Linked DNA regions of Arabidopsis thaliana. The protein of the gene in region 2 interacts with the protein of the main gene of each other region in a pairwise test. Each region holds a gene or a part of one and is shown on either strand. Other genes may lie near its edges.

Region 1 (4,720 bases), on a different chromosome or scaffold from region 2:
CTTATCTTGTAGCTCAAGCTCTTTGGCGGTTCTGTAAACCATGTTGTCTTCTGTCTGTTGCATCATCCATGTCTGAAGCTCTTTCAAGCTCACAAAGCCATCTCTTGGAGACGCGTCAAGCAGAGGAAACAAGAACTTGATCCTCATTGTCGTGTTAAGCCTTCTCTCTTGTGCAAAATACTCCTCAAACATATCATCTTTCTCCTCTTTCGCAGCCTCCACGGTCTTCGTACCAGCTTCTTTCTCATGAGACAACCTCTCAATCCGGGTCACCAAAGGGTCAAACACCGGCATTTCAAGCCTCCGTCCGATGCGGCGGGTTATGAGACCCTCAATGGATTGAGTCTGGTTTTGTTTCTTATGAGCGAGGAGGATGAGGAAGATGATGGTGGCGGTTAGTATCGTGTAAACCACCACCTTGGCCATTTTCCGGTAGTCCAAGGTGGGGTAGGGAGAGAAGACGAAAGGGCCACGAAGATTGCTAATTCTGTTTTTGTATTTGCTTTATTGGGGGCTTTCCTTAAATCATTAAATTATGTTCTATCAACCGTTTTTGCCGCCAAAGTCGGTTATTTATTCGTTGAGGATCCAATGACTCTTCCTCTGTCTATATGTGTGTATTTATAGCAAACCAACAAAACCGGTTACGACATATCATAAAGCCTAAAGGAACAAAAGATTGTTAAAATGTAAGAAGAAAGAAATCAAAGAACAAGACTTGGTAACATCCAAGTGATATAGTGTTGGAACATCCCAGTGATGTGGTAGGGATGGAAAGAAAGTTTAAAGTAAAGAAAAGCTTCTTACTAAGTCATTTGATCATATACATTGCGGATTTAGAGAAGACGTGGTTAGTATTTGTTTAGTCTGCCTGCTTTGCAGAATCTCGGATCCAGGGCCAGTCTGATTCACAGAGATCAAGGGGAGAGTTTCCATCCTCATCTTTAGCGGCTGTGTTTGCGTTCTGTTTAACCAGAAACTCGGCGATAGCTTCTCTGTCGCATACAACAGCATAATGCAAAGGGGTTTGGCCTTCGTTGTCCTGTTCAACACAAGAACCAAAAACACATAAATAAAGAAGTTGCTAACTTTGCAGATAATGACTGGGTAGGAATTTCTCTTTCGTCACCTTAGCATTCACATCGGCGTTCTTATCGACCAGAACTTTGGCGATGTTGAGGTGGCCACGGTCTATAGCCCAGTGCAATGGTGTGCGACCTTCACTGTCTGCAGTTTATGGGAAAATTAGAATGCAGATCCAACATCACGAGAATGAACTTCCAAGAAACGGAATATACAAGCAGAGACTAACCCCTTGCATTTACAGGAATGCCGCTTTCAATGCTTTTCAGTAAATTCTCGACTTCTCCTTCTCTAGCAAATCCGTGTATGGCATCAATCTTCCTGAGAGATAAAACAAAAGTTCAATGAGCAGAGGATTAGTGTTTCATTCAGATAGACAGGAAGAAACGAACAGCTCAAAGTTCCATGAGACAATTGTAGCCATTTCACCATCAAAATTTGCTACAGCTAGAACGAGACAGTAATGTTACATATTCACCGAGTTTATGAGCCTCTTTCACAAATCAGGATACTTATATCTAATCTAGACATGAACGCAAGGATCAGGATATAAAACACATGAGAATACAAGAAGAGAACCTTACAACTCATTTTCGGACTCCTCATCATAAACCAAAGAGCTAAAAACTGGTCCCATGGTTCCTCTTGAGTTGGAGGCTGCATCATCCCCACCCCGACTTCCGGCTTTCTGTTAGTGAAGCTCACATGAACAGGCCAGAGGAAGAAACCGAAGCAATCAAACAAAGAAAAGGGGAAAAAGCTTTATACCACGCCACCGTCTAACCAAGTTGGGTAAAGCTGAGTGACAATCTCAATATACTTCTCCATCGCCTCTTCAGGTGGCATAGCTCCCAGTTTCTGCCATGCTTGCCTGAGATAGAACAAGATCATGGCACATCCCAATCAATGAAATTGCAATCTTACAACAAACCACAATTCCATATACAATCAACTGTTACAACAGTAAAAACCACATCATCGTCCAGCAGTTGCATAAGCTAAGAAGCAAACTAGGTGATTGTCTATGAAGAACCTAAAACCTCAAAAATTTCCACCTCAAATCAAATCTCAAACAGTTGAACAAAAACACCAGAAAATGATACATAGAAGTTAATGGCACAGCAGATTCAACGAAAGAGAGAGATACCACTTGGCACGAGCAGTCATTTTGAGAGCTGATGGCTGAGGAGCAGTACACGGCCCTTCCGTAGCAATCTTATACAATCCGTAAAGCTGCTGCTGCACATCACTCGGTACCTTCTGCGAAAGCCGATCTGCGGCGGCGGTAGTCACAAAAAGAGTGGCGGCGCTAAAAGCCTCATCGAGTTCCGTGCTCTCGACGCCTTCCCAATCATCATCTTCCTCACTGTCGTCACCGGCAACGCTATCACTTCGGGAGCTACCCTGCTCCGCCACAAGCGAATCCGCCTCACCACCGAAACCACCGCAAGAGGAATCGAGACGTCGCGAGTCAACTCCTTCCGGTTTAATTTCCAATTGAGACTCCTCTGGGTGACGAGTAAGAGAGAGATTGTCTTCTTTAAACGTGACGACGATCGAGATCAGCTTAGCGAGAAGGTAAGAGAAAATCAAACCTAGGATCACAGACTGAGCAAGTTGAGCCCAATCACCCATTATTTCTAAAAACGAAATCAAATTCTCAAAAACGAAAAACCAACGCCGATAATTAAAACCCTAGAGAAATTTCAACACAGAGTCTCACGAGGAGGATGAAGAAGAAGAAGGAAGCCAAGGGATCTGGAGAGACAAAAAGGAACAAACTTGTGTTGTTTTCCACCGATTCAGTCACCAAACAAAAAGAGAAGTTCCTTTTCGTTGTGGGCGTTAAGACTTTTTAATGAATTGGATCAAAGTTTAAAAGACGACACATAAAAAAACTTGGCGACGAGTGACGACAGATCACATATGGGTCTAATTGGGGAAGAAGTCGACGTGTTGTACCCTAATCTTTTTTGCTCCTTTTACCAACAAAATTAAATAAATATTTCACAATAACACGTAAAAAAGTTAATGAATTCAATAACAATGTCAAATTTTGTGGTGGAATCGTGGTCGAAAACAAATCTAGAAGACGTGCATGGTGTTGGGATGATTAAAGGCTTGACTCATACGACACGTAAATTGACATGTATCCATAAGAGAAAATAAGGTAGACCACAAACTTGAAGGCATTAGATTCACGTGAAGTGGGCACGAAAATGAAATCCCAACTTTTTTTCTTATAACAAAAGATAAAACTCATACATGATATTAAATAGTCCCACTTCCAAACATTGCTTGCTCAAATGAGCATCTCATGAAGAGAAAACCCAACCCACCCATACGAGTGAGTGAATCATTTTTACATGGAATACTCATTTAAGCAAGAAACATTAGAAAGTGGAAAGGAGAGTTTATCACTTTTGTGACTTTGTCACCATGAGAGTAAGAGAGATGATGACTCTAATTGATATATATCCCTATAACTATATATGAGCAACGTGACTCCACAAACAATAAAGAAAATTACGAAAATACCCTAAACTCAAACAAGAAACTACCCACCAACCCAGGCTACCATACTCTACTACTGAACATCTTAATAACTCCAAGACACACTAACCAAATACTTGAACAAGACTTGTAAGTAAAAGCAATGGAATGGTAGCTAAAGCTTGACTTTTATCCAACAATCAAACATTCTCAAGCAAACTACATGCCTGGGGGATTCATTCCCCACTGTATCGTGTAGATTAATACAAGGAAACAAAAAAAAAAGATATTTTCTCAATTACCTACCCTTTGATCTGTAATGGGTCACTTAACCTGTGGTAATTTTGAAAGACTATTCGTGTTGTGCTCCATACCGGCATTGGATATTTTCCCCTTCTATGAGCTTCTCAACTGCATCGAGAGGAAGACCCACCAGCTCTAACGTCTTTTTCCACACTCTCTGTGCAGTTTCTGTGTTGTGTGCTTCTTCGGAAGGATTTGCAGGGCGGCAATCTTGAGAGATGAATGGGCAAACAGGCCAATCATCGTTTTTTAGTGTTTCCCAGTACTCTGGAATCTGAGGATCTGTGGCCGAGAATAGAGAACTTCTACAACCTTCTTGGGGTGAAAATATGAAATAAGGTATCACTGCGTAAAGAGCTTGAAGAATCCTGGATAGATCCCTGGCCTGTAAATTTCGGAAAGAAATAGGCAGTTCAACGCAATGAATTTCTGAGAAAACAGAGGAATCCTGCACTTGTAACGAAATGAAGTGAAGCTAATACTCACAACATTTGTTAGGACAACACCAGGGGATAGACATACGACGCTGACTCCTGTTTCCAGAGGAAGCTTTTTGAAAAGAATGCTACTAAACATAATCTGGAAGATGGAAGATCAGAGAGCGAGACTTAACTCACCAGTTTCTGAAAATAAGCCTCTTTCAGAAAATGGAAACTACGGCAGATGAAAACTACGGCAGATGTCATTACTGTAAGCTCACCTGGGCAAGCTTGCTGCTTGAGTATCCTATAAGGCTTGAGTACTTACGTCTACCAGAAACAACATTCATGTCATCCGGGTCAACAAAACCGACACTATGCATCTACAAAAGTGAATCCCACAACCCATTATCTTGCATGAA
Region 2 (5,162 bases):
GCTGCCTTATCCTTGGTGACAACAGCGGTACCAGCACTTCCAGTAAATCCTGATATATAAGCCCTCCTGGCATAGCACTCTGCGATGAACTCGCTCTAGTACAAAATATGGAGAAAAATCACACTCAAGCCATGAAAAACTCAGGCAGTTTATGGATACATTTAGAAGTAAAACATAAATTTGTGACTTTCCTAATGGCACAGAAATATATTACAGGCAACATCAGTTATGAAAGTAGATCTTAAGCTCCTAGTATGTAAAATTCACCGAAACAACACATTACCCATATCAAAATGGCAAAAACAATTGCATAGATGCATAACAACCCCCGCACTGGTCCAAATCATATTTATTTTTTATCTTGAATCTCCAAATCGAATTTGGTATACTCAGGGACAGCAAGATTGACGTGTGAGCGGAGCAAGAAACTTTGGGGAGAATGAAATAAAACACGAGTTGGAGAATTTCATACTGTGATTTAGAAGAAGAAGAACTTCCATTTGGCTCTACAATTGAAACATCCTCTTATGACAAGTTGAGATTTGACTAGGAAGAAAAATCTGAATGCATTTTCAACCCAACATATAGAAGATCAGATACCACCAAAGCCGTTTCTTACAATACCATAAAGTAGAAAATTACAAAGACAAAGAGTTTATGCATAACACAACTGACAGATATCATAACAAACATATACGTTTCACAATCACTCAGAGAAATTGTGAGAGGTGATGGTGTTCAACGAGCACTTGTGGTGACTACTCTGCGCTTGTTTCGATGGAATTTTTCCATGAACCACTCGTGTTTGTGTGCAGTAAAGAAGATATGTCCAATAACTAATCCACAAAACACACCAGGTCCGTAGGCTATTGCCGCTGCTATCCAGTTAATCACTTGTTCTTCTGGTTCCGAAAATTCCTCGGATTCTAGTGGTGTAGAACTCGGGGCATGAGCTTTTCCACAGATTTTCTCAAGACCGTAGAGTCTGAGGTTGTCCATGAATGTAGAACAATGTTGGCTTTGAAACTGAGTGCCTAGTGGAACTGGACCTTCGAGAAGGTTATGGGAGAAATTCATGGTCGACAGAAAAGAGAGGCTACCAAGATCTCGAGGGATGTGACCTGATAGCTGATTCCGGGATAGGTCCAATGTCTCAAGATTTGTCAAATTTGCCAATGACTGAGGGATATTGCTTGTGAATGAGTTACCTGACAAATTGAGAAGACGCAATTCCTTCAACAAACCAACGGATTCAGGTATATTCCCAAAAAATCTGTTTCCAGAAAAGTCAATGGCTCTGAAGAAATATGGGATCCGCAAGAAGTCCGTTTCTACTCCTTTATATATCATAGTCATCGAATTACTATGGCTGAACTCGGGCCCTTTCTCGCCCATGTACCAATCCTCTGTACCTATATTAGAGCCGTTTTCTTCTAAGACAGATGTCACCATCTCACGCCAATTGGAGAAATATAAAGGTGACAAAGTTCCACTGAAGCCATTCTGTGATATATCAATGAGTCTCAAATGTTGAAACCCAAAAGATATGTGGTCATAATATAACGACCCATAGAATGCATTAGATCTGAGGATGAGGACACGTAATGATGGCAAAGAAACCAACCAGGATGGAAAAGTGTCCTTGATTATGTTGCTTCCCACATTCAGAAGTTCCATACCAGTGCAATTGATCAGGGATTTTGGAAGTTTTCCCTCCAACCGGTTGTAGCTAACGTCAAGTGATAATAACATGCTAGCATTGACAAATACGTCTGGGAGAAATCCGCTGAAGCTGTTGTTACGCAGAACTAGCCCTTTAAGCCAATAAGTGGAATTTTTCAAACAAGGAGGAATTGAGCCGTTGAAGAGATTGTTGGACAAGTCTAAGTACTTTAAGAACCTTTGCTTGCAGATCCAATGGGGAAAAGGTCCTCCAAGTGAATTCGAACCAAGATCCAACTCCTGCATTGATTCTCCATCCAAAGCTCCGGATGATGACTTTCCAAAACTGTTGAAAGAATTGTGGGAAAGTGTCACTGTCATCAATCCCCATAAGCAACCTGGCACTTCGCCTTCCAAGGTATTGTTTGAAAGACTAAGATGCTGAAGGTTGACCAACTTTGATATAGAAGTGGGGATTGGCCCAACTAAGTTGTTGTGGCTAAGATCTAGTACTATGAGACTGTGAATTTCAGATATATATTCAGGGATTGGCCCATCGAATTTGTTATCAGCAAGGTTTAGATCCCAAAGCCTAGAAGATGAAGATATATTCCCAAACTTTATAGGTCCCATGAACTGGTTTCCTTCCAAATAAACAATTTGTAACGAAGGAATCGTGAATAAGGATGTAGGAAAAGTCCCGACAAATGAATTCTCACGCACATCAAAATATTTCAAGTTGTGGAGTCCACTCATATCAGATGGAAGCGTGGATTTAAAGTGATTAGAGGCAACGTTTAAGGAGGACAAGCTGGTTAAATTTGGTAGTATGAAAGAGAAATTTTCCAATGTGAACTGATTGCTAGAGATGTCTAAACTAGAAAGCTTCGTTAAATTGGTAAATGAAGTAGGAATGTTACCACTAAAACTGTTTTCGGAAAGTAAAAGGTCTCTAAGTTGGTTTAGCTTACTGACCGAAGCCAGAACTTCACCTGTCAGCTGATTACTCGAAAGGTCAAGATGCGTGAGACGAGAAAGGTTTCCTAGTGAAGAAGTAACCTCTCCATAGAGATGGCAATCACTGAGAGTCAGGTTCTGGAGTTGTTGGAGTTTGAAAAGACCACTAGTTGGTTTCAAAGAGTTGTTGAGAAGGACATAACTAAGGTCAAGTGAAACCACCTCGCCAGATTCATCATCGCACGTGACACCCTCCCAAAAACAGCAATCACTAGTCTTGTTCCATGAACTCAACGATGGACTTGGCTTCGATTCACTTACCGGAAACTCGTGTTTGAACTCGAGAAGAGCATCCCTTTGGTCATGGCGGCAATAGTGAAGCCTAGAAGAAGCAAGAGTGCGTAGAACAAGGGAACCCAGGAGGAAGAAATACAAGGTAATAACACTACCAGAAAAGGAATTAGATTGGCTTGGAATCATTTTGTTTGTTTTGTAAGTAACAGGTTATGATAGCTATGGCTTCTACGTCTCTATTTAGAGAGAGAGAAAAATAGAAAACAAAACACAAATTTGCAGCTCTCTAGTAGACTTCTACCTACTCCTTTCTATAGTCAAACTTGCCCACTTGGACCAATAATTGACTTAAAAACACACACAATTGAACAGTTTTGAATCTACTAGAACTTCCTATTCAATTCGTAATCACGAGTTAAGAAGAGGTTTAAAAAAAGAGAACCTGATGTGCATCTTGTGAAGGTATGATATAAGCGTCGATTCCAACACCCGGCTCCGAAAACAGTCGCCGGATCGAGCTAAGCTTCTCGTCGACAACTACTTTGGTTTGAGCTTTACGAATCTCTTTGGAAGACTTTGCCGTGAAGGAGGAAGAGCTGCTGCTGCTGCTACTAGCATGACACCTTGCGCCAAAAAGAGGTTTATACGGTAATTTCCGGTGGATCAGAGAGAGCGAATTGAAATTGCTGAGAAATAGAGAGTGTGAGTAACGTGATGTGGATAAAACGAGCCGATTCAGAGACGGCGACGAAAGAGTTAGAGGAATCATCACCAGCGATTGCAGGAGAATCACACAAGAGGAGAAGCTTCTTGAGCAGAGTGATTACGGATAAATGTGTATAACTACTGAAAATTGCAAAACAACCCCCGTATTCTTTTAAATGTTGTATAATGTGCATGACTATTGATAATTACATTAAAATCCCAGACTTGTCAAAAAGAAACATTTTATTTTGAAACAATCTCATCAAATTCGTTATGGTAAAGGACAGCCAAGAGAGACGTGTGCAAGAAGCAAGAGTCTTTGGGTGCGTAAGAAATGTAAACGTGTTCGAGACTTTCATGCTGAGAATTTCGATTGGAATTTTGGTTTGACTTAGAAAGTTTTATGAGAAAGACTTAATACCGCCTGAATTAAGGGTTTCCACGAAAGAGACAAACGATAAATTGCAACCACACCAGAAAAGAGAAAAATAGATACTAATATTCTTTATATTGATAACCATGGGGTTTAGAATTCAAAACATATTTTGAGATATGAGTAGAAGAAGTTTCTGAATGCATTATCGAGCCAAGATTTATTACAAAACCTTGCAACAATGTGGTTTGGGACAAGAAGCTGACCATGATTTTAACCTGATAGTAAAACGGGCCTTGTCTCTTGACAGCTGAAAGTCTGAAACAAGATCATAATATTTCTCAAGCGCTGAACTAACACAAGTAAGGGAATGGAAGTGAATACTTGTTCTGAAGCAACTGGCATGAAAATGTACCTCTCAAGTATCTGGTTTTTTCTAATCTCCTTCCGTGAAAAGAAAGATTCTTAGGGTACCAAGGCAAAGGCTTGATTGCCTCCAATTCACCACTCTCTATGGCCTTAAGTATGCTTCTTATGTCTATCATCAATGAGACACTAGAAAAATGAAAGAGTCATGAATCAACCTCAGCCCGAAGAGATTTCATGAAATCATTCTCCAATTTCAATCAAATCCCATCACAAAATTGACCACTGAAGAATCAAAAACAGAGGCCACTTAGTCAAAAAAAACTCTGAAACTCCATAAACGAATCCCACTCTTCAGCTTTCACTATCCTTTGTTCCTTACACAACTTCACAACAAGACATTACAATGGTGTTTATTAGAAGTAAAGTTTCAAAATCCATGGAAGCCATTGATTCTATTGAGGTACCTTGTAATACTCCTCGAGTCCTCATCCTCGAAATGAAGATTTGAGCAGATGGGCTTTTGGAGGTTGGAATCAAAGGAAGCATCGGATTTGAGGGGGTTTTCGAACATTCTCTTGGCTATTTAGAGTTGATTTCTCTTCCAAGTTGTGTCGTCTCCATTTTTGTTGTTACAGTGGCCGAGCTTTTTGTTTTCACAGCGATGGGTTTGATGGGTTTACATTGGTTTTGAAATTCAAATTGATCTCGGTTCGGTTTAATTTGGTTTAGAGAAGAAAACCAAAAAAAATAAGACACGCGATGGATTTTTGAGAGTGAGTTGCGTGGATCAAAAAAGGCATGA

Evidence for each region. The genes of interacting proteins can lie anywhere in the genome.
Region 1: the proteins of RLP30 (region 2) and ACBP2 interact in a protein complementation assay, tested with the Arabidopsis thaliana proteins (one large-scale study listed by BioGRID).

What each region holds. Positions count from the first base shown.
Region 1 is NC_003075.7:13,845,772-13,850,491, reverse strand, and holds ACBP2 (acyl-CoA binding protein 2), read right to left. Parts: upstream 2,944-4,720; 5' UTR 2,719-2,943; coding exon 2,231-2,718; intron 1,955-2,230; coding exon 1,852-1,954; intron 1,772-1,851; coding exon 1,668-1,771; intron 1,405-1,667; coding exon 1,313-1,404; coding exon of another isoform or gene 1,308-1,312; exon of another isoform or gene 1,228-1,307; coding exon 1,130-1,227; intron 1,043-1,129; coding exon 863-1,042; 3' UTR 558-862; downstream 1-557. Other genes in the region: AT4G27790 (Calcium-binding EF hand family protein), read right to left, coding at 1-426; FEY (NAD(P)-binding Rossmann-fold superfamily protein), read right to left, coding at 3,929-4,264, 4,366-4,458, 4,580-4,681. UniProt on the Arabidopsis thaliana protein: Binds medium- and long-chain acyl-CoA esters with very high affinity. Can interact in vitro with palmitoyl-CoA, but not with oleoyl-CoA. Binds to lead ions (Pb). May function as an intracellular carrier of acyl-CoA esters.
Region 2 is NC_003074.8:1,530,162-1,535,323, forward strand, and holds RLP30 (receptor like protein 30), read right to left. Parts: upstream 3,201-5,162; 5' UTR 3,100-3,200; coding exon 739-3,099; 3' UTR 507-738; downstream 1-506. Other genes in the region: AT3G05350 (Metallopeptidase M24 family protein), read right to left, coding at 1-95, 3,356-3,682; AT3G05365 (uncharacterized protein), read right to left, coding at 4,215-4,309, 4,407-4,546, 4,825-4,931. UniProt on the Arabidopsis thaliana protein: Receptor for microbe-associated molecular patterns (MAMPs) that induces a BAK1-dependent basal immune response to necrotrophic fungi (e.g.